Linked DNA regions of Struthio camelus. The protein of the gene in region 1 interacts with the protein of each later gene in a pairwise test. Links are inferred from orthologs where the notes say so. Each region holds a gene or a part of one and is shown in the gene's direction. Other genes may lie near its edges. The genes, in order: KPNA2, NUP50 and NECAB2.

Region 1 (3,747 bases):
ATCAGTATGCGTCTCTGACACTTCTCTACCTTGAATTGTACGTTATGGGTAAAAAATGTGCTTCAGCAGCTGGCGGGGTCATGTTTTTTCATCTAGGCTTTTTGGTTTGAAGTACGCCTACAGTAAAACAGGATGTTTTGCTTTTGTAACCCATCCCTTGTGAATAGCATAAACCTATCTGAAACAATACCAAATCTGTTGATTTTCTGGAAATGCTACAAGGGCATGCTTTTTATTGTTTGATATGATTTAATTTTGATCTGTAATGATTGCTGTTGAATTACTTTAAATTGCAGCATCACATGCCTGGTGGTTCCAGGAGGTCGAGTGGAGTCTAACTTGGCTGAAGTAAAAGACATCAGGGGGAGTCTTACAAAAAGCCCTAAGTGACCTAAGGTTCATAATGTAGAAATTAGGCTGTATATAAGGAACTGGGGTATCACTGCTGCTAACTGCTCAGATTGAGGGTTTCGAGAGCGAAAAGCTCCCTGCTGTAGCCCCATCCAGATGTGCAATAACCCCCCCACCCGCCATCCCACTGCCCCCCCCGCCAGGCCCTAGGAAACTACAAATCCCATCATGCCACGCGTCACCTTCCTGGGACACCGAGGCCCCAGTGCAGTTGTCTCCCCCGGGCTCTGGCCCGGGCGGTGTCGCGTCGAATGCTGGGAGTTGTAGTGCTGGGACGGTGACGGGGGGGGGGGGTCTTCGAAGCACGTGACGTCTGGCCCTCCCTTCCGGGAGCACGGCGGAGAGTCGCTCCTCTCCATCGCGAGACGAGCCGGATTTCAAACTGGCCAATCAGAACGTTGCTATGGCTCGAACGGGCCAATGGCAGGGCGAGGGCGCGGGAAATTTAAATCCCGCCTGGCAGAGGCTCGGGGTAGTGGCAGCGTGTTCGCAGGCTCGGAGCGGCGCTGTGGCAGCGGGGCGGCTGGTGCGCTGAGTCCGCGGCGGAGGTGCGGAGCGTGCGCTGGTCTCTCGGAGGGGCCGGGGCTCCCTCGGCGGTAGGGCAGCCCGGCAGTCCCCTCCCTCTGGGGCTCTGCGGTGGGGTACCGCTGCCCGGAGCGAGGCTGACGGGGTTGGCGCCTGCTGGAGCGGGCTGCGAGCTCTGGCTGAGCTGCGGCTGACGTGAAGCCAGCCCTCCTGCAGCGGGTCACCTCGGGGCTGGCCAAGGCAGAGGCCGGCCTCGTTACTAGCACAGCCGCTATTGCGTGTTGCTGACCTAAGGGCATGGCAAGCCTGGTGGCAGGGGCCTTGTCGGTGCTGCCCTCGTCAGAGGGTTTGGAGGGGTTTTGCATGTGTGCTATGGGCTGGACCTAGTCAAAATAGCATTTAAAATGTATATGTGCCTTTTATGGGGAGGAAGGCCTATCTTAGTCCTAGAAAAAATGACTCTGATAACATTTGTGGGTGAAAGTGTCTTAAAAGAATGTGTTTCTACTGATTTTGTCTTAATGCTGTTGCTGTGGCAACCTTTGGCCTTTTTGAAAAGGCAGCTGTTATGTTGCCATTGTTTTCAAGTCAAAGGGTGGCCATCTGATATGGACAAGCATCTCTTGTTTTGAAGTAATAGTCCAAGTTCTTAAGTTTTTGACTTAAACTTTTGTGGTATAAGCTTTAAGGGTTTACCCTTTGCTTCTTTTTTTAGGCTAGTTTCTTTTATCTACTTCTCTTGAAGCCTGACTAATAAGCAAGATGTCTACTAATGAGAATGCCAATACAGCTGCTCGCTTGAACAGGTTCAAGAACAAGGGAAAGGACACCACAGTGAGTATTTTGATGCAACAAATATTTTAGTAGCCATTGTCTCTCTAAAGAGCCTTTCTACTTGTAAAAGCCATGAACTAATCAATGCATGTCCTCCAGGAAATGAGAAGGCGGCGTATTGAAGTCAATGTAGAGCTGAGAAAAGCTAAGAAAGATGACCAGATGCTTAAAAGAAGAAATGTTAGCACTTTACCAGATGATGCGACTTCCCCCCTTCAGGAAAATAGGAATAATCAAGTAAGTAGGTACCTAACTGCAGTGACCCATATTGTAGTTCCCTTCCTCAAGTGGCTTGTTAATGTTTGTGATACTTGTGTTCCCCTGTTAAAACGCTTTAAAAGATACTTCAGGCAGTTGTGTTTAAGCCCACTGTAATACTGGTGTGAAACACTTCAAAAATGCTTTCTGTAGTTCAAATGTAGATAAAGCAATAGCTGATGAGGGTTTGGAGATCATGCAGTGATGCAACTTATTTTCTACAACTGCTTGCTCTATTAAGTGGCAGTCTTCTCATAGTATTGTATACTGTAACTATTTCTCGTACAGGTTTCAGCACACTGGTCAGTTGAAGAAATAGTCAAAGGAGTTAATAGTAATAATACAGAGCTTCAGCTACAGGCTACTCAAGCTGCCAGGTAAGGAATTTAGAGGTAACTGATTCACCTGTGCAGGCCAGTAACTGGATAAGGTAAAAGGATTAGCTAATGAACCTAAGCCTCTGCCTGTGGCAGCAACTGTGGCTCTCTTGATTAAGGCATTTATTGAAATATAGTTTAGTAAACTTTAAATACAGTGTTTTGATAAGTTTCATTTGGTCCCATGCATGTTTTTAACAAAACCATGTGGGTTATGGGTTTTTAAAGAGCCTGACCACTTCACCAGGAAGTAGTAATTGATTTCAGGTGGCTTTGAGGCAGAAAAATAAGCGGTAGGCCATTTCAGATTTGTAGAGTAATAATAAAGTTACTTTATTCTGATAAAAAGATCTTTAAGCTGTCCACATCTGACTATGATATGATGTTTGCTTGCAGTGATCTACCTTGGAATAAAGTACACACAAAACTTAGTATGCTTAGAACTCCAGTCATTATGATCTAGAAAGCAACGTTGCTTCTGGTAATCATTACCCTACTGTCTGCTGAGACACCTCTAGCAGTTCAGATATGTTATGCCTCTTGTAGCTCTGTTTTATTTCAGAGCCTGGACAGAACCTCTCAAAGTGAAGACATGGCAGAAGCAATCTTAACGAGAAGTTTTAGATGCTGGTGTTGAGCTTGTTTGTAGCTTTGCTAAATTTCCCCTTCAGGTCTTGTTGCTTTGCCTTCTCTGAATACCTTGAAATCTTTTTTTTTTTTTTTTTTTTCAACATAGGTCTCTTTAGACTGACTAGATAGAATCTGTGTAGATCTCTGCAGGTGAAAATAACGCTTCCTGTTTGTCTTCCTCCTTAGGAAACTCCTCTCAAGAGAGAAGCAGCCCCCCATAGACAATATAATTCGTGCTGGTTTGATTCCAAAGTTTGTCTCCTTCTTGGGGAGAGCGGACTGTAGCCCTATTCAGTTTGAATCTGCTTGGGCGCTTACCAACATTGCTTCTGGCACATCAGAACAAACAAAGGCAGTAGTAGATGGTGGGGCTATTCCAGCCTTTATTTCACTGCTGGCCTCTCCCCATACTCACATCAGTGAACAGGCTGTGTGGGCTTTAGGAAACATTGCAGGTATGTCAATATGCTGCAAACTTCTTTTTGGACCTATTCTGTTGTTAGAAATAGGAGTACATTACTATTAGCAGGTTGTGGTGTAGCATGCTGAGCTCTTTGGAACTCTTGCCTTAATGTCTTGTGATCCTGTACATGTTCTACAAGGCGGAGTATGCTATGGACAATGCATTATTGTCAGATGTGGTATCTGACAACTTTTTGCAACACCTGGCAGCCTGTGGATGTATTGCATAGTTCTTACCAATATCTCAATT
Region 2 (3,747 bases), on another chromosome or scaffold:
TTATGCCATTTTAAAGTGTTTGCACAAAATAGTCTTTTATCAGATAATGAAATGGATTGTATTTCAAAAAGATCTTATTGATTTCCCTTTAAATGTATTGGACCAAAATTCCTGTATTTGACTTGTGATCTCTGTGAGAGTGTTGTGCAGTGATATTTAGTGTTCTGTTTAAAAATTCATTTGCTAGATGGGATAAGTTCTGAAATCAAGTATTATCATCGCTTTCAGCTCTGACTGTGAATTAATATTTGTGGAATGTTTTTTCTGACCAGGTTTGAATTATAGCAGTGTGTGAGTTTTTCTTATTTTTGTTTTTTTAAGGAATTTTAATTCTTGCACTTGTGTGACTTTAAAGTTTTACAAAAACAACTTCCTTTTTTCTGAAAAGTTTTCATGGTTATGTCAGATGTTGTAGTCGCTGTTAGCCAGATGCTTCTTTCGGTATAGAATTTGAGAGCAGCGTGAGTACTTGCTGGGTGTTTTTCAGATGTGAAATAGTCTAGCTGGATTCAGTGTTTGTTTTCATATACAGCTGATGAGTTATACTTTACTAAATTGGAAGTCAGAAGTTAAAAGTACTACAGGCATTCTTTCTTCAAAGTGGTGTGCCGTGGGTTTGTTGGTTTGTTTGTTTGTTTTTTTCCCCCCTCTACATTGCAGAGAGAAGCAGCAAAATAGTGATTGGCTGCTGGAACTAATTGCTCTAAAATCCATGATAAACTTTGGGTGTCCCTTGGAAAAAAAAGTCGTCATTTATTTATATTGGAATCTCTCAACTTTTTAATTAGTAATAGTCTAGCAATCTTGTTTTTTGAATTACAGCATTGTTTTCATTCTTACTCAAAGTAAGTTCTCTGCCCAGCTGCTTCAGTGGGTCCCCATGGTCGTTATTTTTGATGTTATAGAGCAAATTACATTTCTCTTGCAAGACTATTCCTGCTTACATAGGTATCCTGAAGCAAGATGAGGTGAGGTATAGAGTCTTTTAACCAGATCATCTTATCTGATTTTTCTTGCAGCCCTTCCCAGTAATTGGTGATGAGGTTATGAGCTGTGGGACTGAAAAGAATTTCTCTAGCCACTTTTGCTGCTGAAGAAAACTTATCCTGTAATTGAACTGCCTGCTTCTACTGTTGCTTAAATTTAGTGTCAAATATGACTAAACAGCACAGCTTCCCCAATTTCACATGCTGTTGATTGTTGTTGCAACATATGTTGTTAGTATTGTTAAAAATGCTTGATTTTTCAGCTGTCTTTCTAATTTTGACCCACTTCTTTCTGTATGAACTCTGATTCCCATTACTTATTCTGGATAATACAAGTTGTAGATCACTGTGGCTTTGAATTTCACTGTTGTACAATTGAGTCTGTGCTCTTTTGATTATTTTTCCACACAGGTTTGGAAAAATGGCAAAGAGAATTGCAGAAAAAGAACTGACCGACAGAAACTGGGATCAGGAAGATGAAGCTGAGGAGGTAAAATATACTTGCATGCTTTTCCACCCCCTACCCCTCAGACAAGGTAATAGGGTAGTTAGTTATATGTGGTGTTTTACGATAGATTTCAGCCATAAGATAAACTGGTTACAAGGGTAGCAATTAAAGATGGCTTTACATAAATCAGTGTATTTTTTAAAAGCTTCCAGTATTTGCAAAGTATATGAAGTATATGGCAAAGCAGTTTTTAACTATTTAAAATTACATCAGCAGCTTAGAGGAGAGGAAGTTTACATTTCTAAAGGGAAACCCAGACTCATTAGAATGCACAGTGCTTTTTAACTCTTCAAATGTGTGGTTGAAATTCCTTTAAAATATTTATTGAGTTAACAAGAAAAGTGTTTTTTTTGATTTCTTGAGGTAGTTGACTCTAAGGTTCACTGGCATACGGTCTAAATAAATTTTCTTCATGTCTCCTGGCTTTTTTAAATAGGTCAGTAATAGTTAATTTCAAAAATATGTTAATTTGGAGTGCTTAGTTGAATGTCCCCACACTGCCAGAGGAATTAAGCAAACAGTGAAATGATACGGTTCATCTGGTTGTAAAAACGGACTTTCGTATTTAGTGTCCTGTATGTATTTATGGCTTGTGTGTCATCTCTAAACAAACTATGCTAGCTTCTGTGCCACTAAAAATGTTGTATGTTTAAGCCTATAAAATGTGAGAAACGAAACTGTCCATACTCTTCTAGAAATGTGAATATAAGAAAACTTAATTTCCCCATTTATTCTGGGGTAGTAATTGGTCTTTAGCTGCCTTTGCTAACATTTAATTACAGCAGCCTGTAGGAGATGGATTTTGACCATACATTTCAGTATAGCTTCTCTAAACTGAAGCTTGATTGCAGCAGTGCGATATTGACAGATTCCTTTCAGCAAAGATTTTTTTACAGCTTTGTTTGAAAAAGCAGAAATTTTCAATTAATTTGTCTTGATAAAACTGAGATTGCAGTCTTGTGTGCAGGTAAATTTAATGCAAGGTAGGGAAGACAGCTGTCAAAGCTGTCAAGTTTCAACTAATCATCCAAATACCTGACCAGCTAATCACGGTACTAGAAGACAGTATAGCTGCATTTTTTGCCTCACCTTCTTTGTTACAGAGAAGTGTTACAATTGTGTTTAAAAGTTGATCTCTGCTATTTCTTCTGACTATGTTGACTTTATATATTCTGAGAATTCCACTAATGATTCCATAACTTGTTTTCAAAGGTGGGAACTTTCTCAGTAGCTAGTGAAGAAGTGCTGAAGAACAGAGCTATTAAAAAAGCTAAGCGCCGAAATGTTGGATCAGAGGTAATTAATCACTGAACAGTGTTGTAGCCTGACTTAGTTGTAAAATAAGACATCTGTGTTCAAGTTTTTTACTTATTTGCACTTGTAACTTAATACTGTATAGCTCTACCATTTATAAGCCAGCTCTTATATATTGCAAATTATTTTTCAGTTATTGTTCCTATAGCAAGAATAAGACTTGAATAAGAAAAGGATAATACTAGTATTTTGGGGACCAAAAGAGATCTGTGTTCTTTGAAGTATAAATAGAGAATGTTTTAGACATGATCTCTTCTACAAATGGGGAAAGTAGTGTTTGAACTGCTCCAGTTTCAATCTTTGCAGAGACGGAAGCCTGGAAATCAAAAGTTAATGAAATTATCCATACTGAAGGGATGGGGACTGGGGGGATGTCCCAGGCAGATGTTAAATAAATAAAAGCCAAAATACTAAGTTGCTCTGAGAATGAAAAAGGTGTTGTCTTTTGTTAAGATTTCTTCTACTTATTTTTTTCCCCCCTTGGAAGAGCTTTAGTGCCACCTACTCTTTGCAATACAGACTGAAAATTGAGAGGAAGATGTCCTTCGTTACAAGTTTACTGTGTGGTGCCTGTGTGAAAGCGTTAACTAAATCTAATCAAATTGTAGTCCTTTGAAAAATCTCTGACAACTGCATTGTCACAGCTACCTTTATATGAAACACTCTTGGAGGGCAACAGTGCATGCCCCATGTTAGAAATGGGACAGAAAATTTTACCTGTCATCCACATTGCTTTTGGATAGCATGGGACTAAACACAGTTCAGGACAGGATAGCTTCCTCCTGTGCTCTGGATTTTCCTACTGCTGTCCAAGCAATAGAAAGGAGGAAGCTGTCCCGTCAGACTTTTGTCCATAATAGTTCTAGGCACAGATGTGGTAGAGGATGTAATTGATGAAAGGACTGTATTGGAAAGAAGATGCCGATGAAACTGACTATG
Region 3 (3,747 bases), on another chromosome or scaffold:
AAATAATTTTGACAACACCGAAGTAGCTCCAAACTTCCAAGCTGCATAACGAATTTTCATAGCACGTGGAAAGTTCACAGAAGAACCTCACTTATAAATTTAGTCAGTAAATTGTCCTAAGTAACTTAAGCATAGAGCAATCCTAGCCTGTGTGTGAATCATAGTCTGAATTAGCCATTTAGCAGAGGGACGTCTAAAGGGGAAAGAAGCATATGAATAGTCTGAGGATTAAGTGCCAAAAAGAGTGGAGTAATTCGGGACATGAGGGGGCACAATCTGGTATATACCTTCTAACAAGTCATTTGTTGCTGGCTTTCTCTCTTAGGCCGTGGTGGATCAGGCCTTTCGGAGCAACGATGCCGTACCTCTTGGGAGACGGGGCGCGGAGCTCGGTGCGGGAAACTGCCGATGGTGTTTCCCGGAGGAGCGCCGGGCTCGCTGGCCCCCCTGCTCGCAGGGGCCCCGGGAGCAGCCCGGAGAGGGTCTGGCGAGCGTGCTGCGTTTGTGCCTGGCACGGGCCAGCTTCACCTGGCAAACAGGTTTCAAGCGCTGCATTAATGTGCTATAAAAGAGGTCACTGGATTCAGCTGTAATGCTCGCTTGCACTCTTAATAGCAACTGAACAAGAAATTGGAGAGCTCTCCAAACCAAGCCAGCCCCATTCCCCCCCCCCTTTTTTTTTTTTAATTTATATTTTTTGCAGCAGGCTCTCAGTTTTGAAGCTTCGGGGCATTTTTGGATCTAAACCCGAAGCAGGCACCCCGTCTGCGGGTGCAGGGTGGGGGGGGGGGGGGGCACACACAGAGCACGTGAAACGATTTCATCCATCCCCCCCCCCCCAAAAAAAAAAAAAAAAAACCAACCCGTCCTTGGGGCACGCCTAGAGGGGGCCCAGGAGTGCCCCGGGGGTGCCCGCCCGCCGCCCGCCGTCGGGGCGGCGTGGCCAAGAGGAGGAGGCGGAGGAGGAGGAGGAGGAGGAGGGGGGGGGGGAGTCCCCGGCTCCGGCATGAGGCCGGGCTGAGCGATGTGCGAGCAGGCAGCGCGCTACTGCCGGGCCGGCGTGCACAGGCTGCTGCGCAAGGCGCCGCCGCCGCCGCGCGGGCTCGACGGGCTGCTCCGCTGGGTCGCCGCCAAGATGAGCGACAAGGGCGCCGAGCGCCAGCTGCCGCAGCCGGCCGCCGCGCAGAGGAAGGGCACCTCGGTCATCCTCGATGTGAGTGAGCCCCGCGCCGGCTGCGCCGAGGCGGGCGGCCGCCCGGGTCCTGCGTGTCCCGTCCCCCGCCCCGCTCCGGGCCGGCTGCGGATGGGGGTGCTTCCCAGGTGCTGCTGGCCGGGCGTGGGGCTTCCCCCCGTGCTGCGTCCCGCTGGCGGTGCACCTCGGGTGCTGCGTCGCGTAGGGGTGCGCCCTCCCCGAGCCCTCCATCCCCCCAGACAGGCTGGAGATGGAGGTGCGCTCCGAGCCCTGCATCCCGTTTTCCAGGTCCTGCGTGTCCGCGGACCGGCTAGGCACGGGGCGGGGGGGGGGGGGGGGTGCACACTGGTCCTGCCCCCACCTGGTGTTGCTCAGGCAGCCTGGGAATGGGGATGCACCCTGGGTCTTGTTCCTGCACCCTCCCCTCGCTGGTCTTACACGCCGGGATCCCCCGGGCTGGCTGGGCACCACGGTGCACCCGGGTCCTGCATTGCCTCCGGTCCTGCACCCCACAGCAGCTGGCTGTGGGAGCGCACCCAGATCTAGGACCCCGGCCCCCTGGGGGGGCTGCGGCTCTGGGGACCGTGTCGGGGGAGGCAGGCAACGCAGTCCCGGATGCCTGTGAACGCATCAGATTGGGGGATCCCTTACTCGGGTTTGGGGGACGGGCGGGGGTGCACTTGGTTCCTCAGCTGTGGTTATTCATAGACCTCTCAAATCAGGGGGCTAACGAGGCTATTTGTCCTTACGTGGAATTAGGAGAATGGGCTGGGATAAACCGGAGTGCACATGATGCAATTCCATAGTCTTTCTGTCAGTAGCATCTAATAGTTAAACATGCACATCCTCCGTTTTGCAATCTTCTAGCTTAAAAAAAAAAAAAGCGATGTAGTGAATTCAAAAATAAGCTACTGATGGTGTTGGTTGTAGTAAAGGATAACTCGCACTCTCTTCCTCCTGCTCGAGCATTAGGCAACAGTATCTCTTGCAGGCAAACCCTTGCGTTTTCTAAACAGCCTGCTGAAGTGTGGCACTTTCTGTGGTTGGCATTGGCAGAGATGGGCTGGGGAGTCCAAAACTCACAGTCCTGGACTCACAGGCGTTACGGTGCGTCAGATGAACTGGTCTGGCTGCGTCTTATCGAGCTGCCAAAAGCAGCTTGGAGAGCAGAGCGACCCTTGGGTGGCCGTGCCCTGCGCAACGGGACCGGCAGGCAGGCTGCTGCGGGCAGTAAAGAAATGGTGCTTGATGGAGCAACGAAAAAGACAAAAGTAACGATTGCACTTATGGTTTTTAAGTTAACTTTGCTCTTTCTTTGGGTTTTTGTTTTCCCCTGCGTTTTCATGTAGTCTAACAGCAGCCTGCCCTAAGATTGCTGGTGTCTGTCTTGAGAGCATAAATACAATTGGAAGTCAACAATTTGGCTCATTCAAAAACTTTGTGAGTTAGGGTTGTTCTTTCTACCAGGACAGTATCTTATCTGCTCAACTTTACCTTCTTTAAAAGGATTTTTTTTTTCCTTCTTTGAGGTTTGAGCTAAGAAAATGAACAGCGAACTTTCAGAATTTTCTTCCCCATTGGGAAATGCAATGGATCTGGGTGTGCAGCTCCCGACCCTTTTCCCCTTCTACGATGGGACTTAGAGCCCTTTCCGACCTGCTGAAAGTAGAAATAGATGTTGGAAATGTGAGGTTTGGGGTTTCTTTCCCCTGAAAACTTGCTTCTCTCTTCTTCCTTTCTTCTCTCTAGTTATAATAGAAAATCTAAGCCACGGCTTTATTATACCGGGCTCTTCATGTGCACTATGAGACCAGCCTTTAATGCAAAGAATTTATCAGCGGGGGGGAGCGTGCATTTAGGTGAACTTTCACGCATTAACAGGAAGGTATCGAGACTCGCGTTCTCACCCCTGAGGATTCAAGCGCATTTTCCCGTCCAACTCCTTCAGGTCCTTTAGGTGGAGGGACCGCACTGTGCGTGGTGTCAGCCTTGATCGGGGCGCCCTGGGACAGGAGCGCGGTGCGGACACGGAGCAGGGAAAGGGGGAGAGGCAGAGCCTGACTGACGGGTTGGTAGCAGGTCTCCTACCCTGCGCTCTCCCACCAGCGGAGCAAACCGGTGGCTGTTGTGTAGCAAAACCGAGGGCTGAGGAAGAGTGAAACGGGACCGGGAGTTAGACGGTGTCTACCATCCACGTGCATGCTGCTGCCTGGAGGATGAAACTGAGCTTAAGGCTATTTTTTTCAGTGTTTTTCTTCTTTGTGCTTGTGTCCTTTTAGGTAAAGGATTAGAAAAAGAGGAAAAAACTGAGTAATGTTTATTAGCGCAGCTCAATCATGGGATTCGGTGTGTAAAAACAGCTGAAATTGCAGACTAACTTTTTGAAACCTCAAGTAATAAACTGATGGAGAAGACACCTAAGTACTAAGCACTCCCTAAAATAGGCAGCAAGTAAAGTTATTGGGGGTTATAGCTGGTGGCGGTAGGGCAAGCAGCGGTGGGGGGTGTTTCCCTCTGGCAATCTTGACAACGTCAGTCTGCGTTTCCGGAGCAGC

The links.
Region 2: the proteins of KPNA2 (region 1) and NUP50 interact in binary tests that used the Homo sapiens proteins (3 or more experiments, as listed by UniProt). The two-hybrid records come from large-scale screens. The link is inferred for Struthio camelus from reciprocal best matches to the Homo sapiens genes KPNA2 and NUP50.
Region 3: the proteins of KPNA2 (region 1) and NECAB2 interact in binary tests that used the Homo sapiens proteins (3 or more experiments, as listed by UniProt). The two-hybrid records come from large-scale screens. The link is inferred for Struthio camelus from reciprocal best matches to the Homo sapiens genes KPNA2 and NECAB2.

What each region holds. Positions count from the first base shown.
Region 1 is NC_090960.1:4,561,089-4,564,835, forward strand, and holds the start of KPNA2 (importin subunit alpha-1), read left to right. Parts: upstream 1-730; 5' UTR 731-959; exon of another isoform or gene 960-1,007; intron 1,008-1,651; 5' UTR 1,652-1,698; coding exon 1,699-1,770; intron 1,771-1,869; coding exon 1,870-2,007; intron 2,008-2,316; coding exon 2,317-2,405; intron 2,406-3,221; coding exon 3,222-3,490; intron 3,491-3,747.
Region 2 is NC_090942.1:79,514,571-79,518,317, forward strand, and holds the start of NUP50 (nuclear pore complex protein Nup50), read left to right. Parts: upstream 1-948; 5' UTR 949-963; coding exon 964-968; intron 969-1,024; exon of another isoform or gene 1,025-1,108; intron 1,109-1,397; coding exon 1,398-1,476; intron 1,477-2,706; coding exon 2,707-2,790; intron 2,791-3,747. UniProt on the Homo sapiens protein: Component of the nuclear pore complex that has a direct role in nuclear protein import. Actively displaces NLSs from importin-alpha, and facilitates disassembly of the importin-alpha:beta-cargo complex and importin recycling.
Region 3 is NC_090951.1:21,308,610-21,312,356, forward strand, and holds the start of NECAB2 (N-terminal EF-hand calcium-binding protein 2), read left to right. Parts: upstream 1-991; 5' UTR 992-1,024; coding exon 1,025-1,213; intron 1,214-3,747. UniProt on the Homo sapiens protein: May act as a signaling scaffold protein that senses intracellular calcium.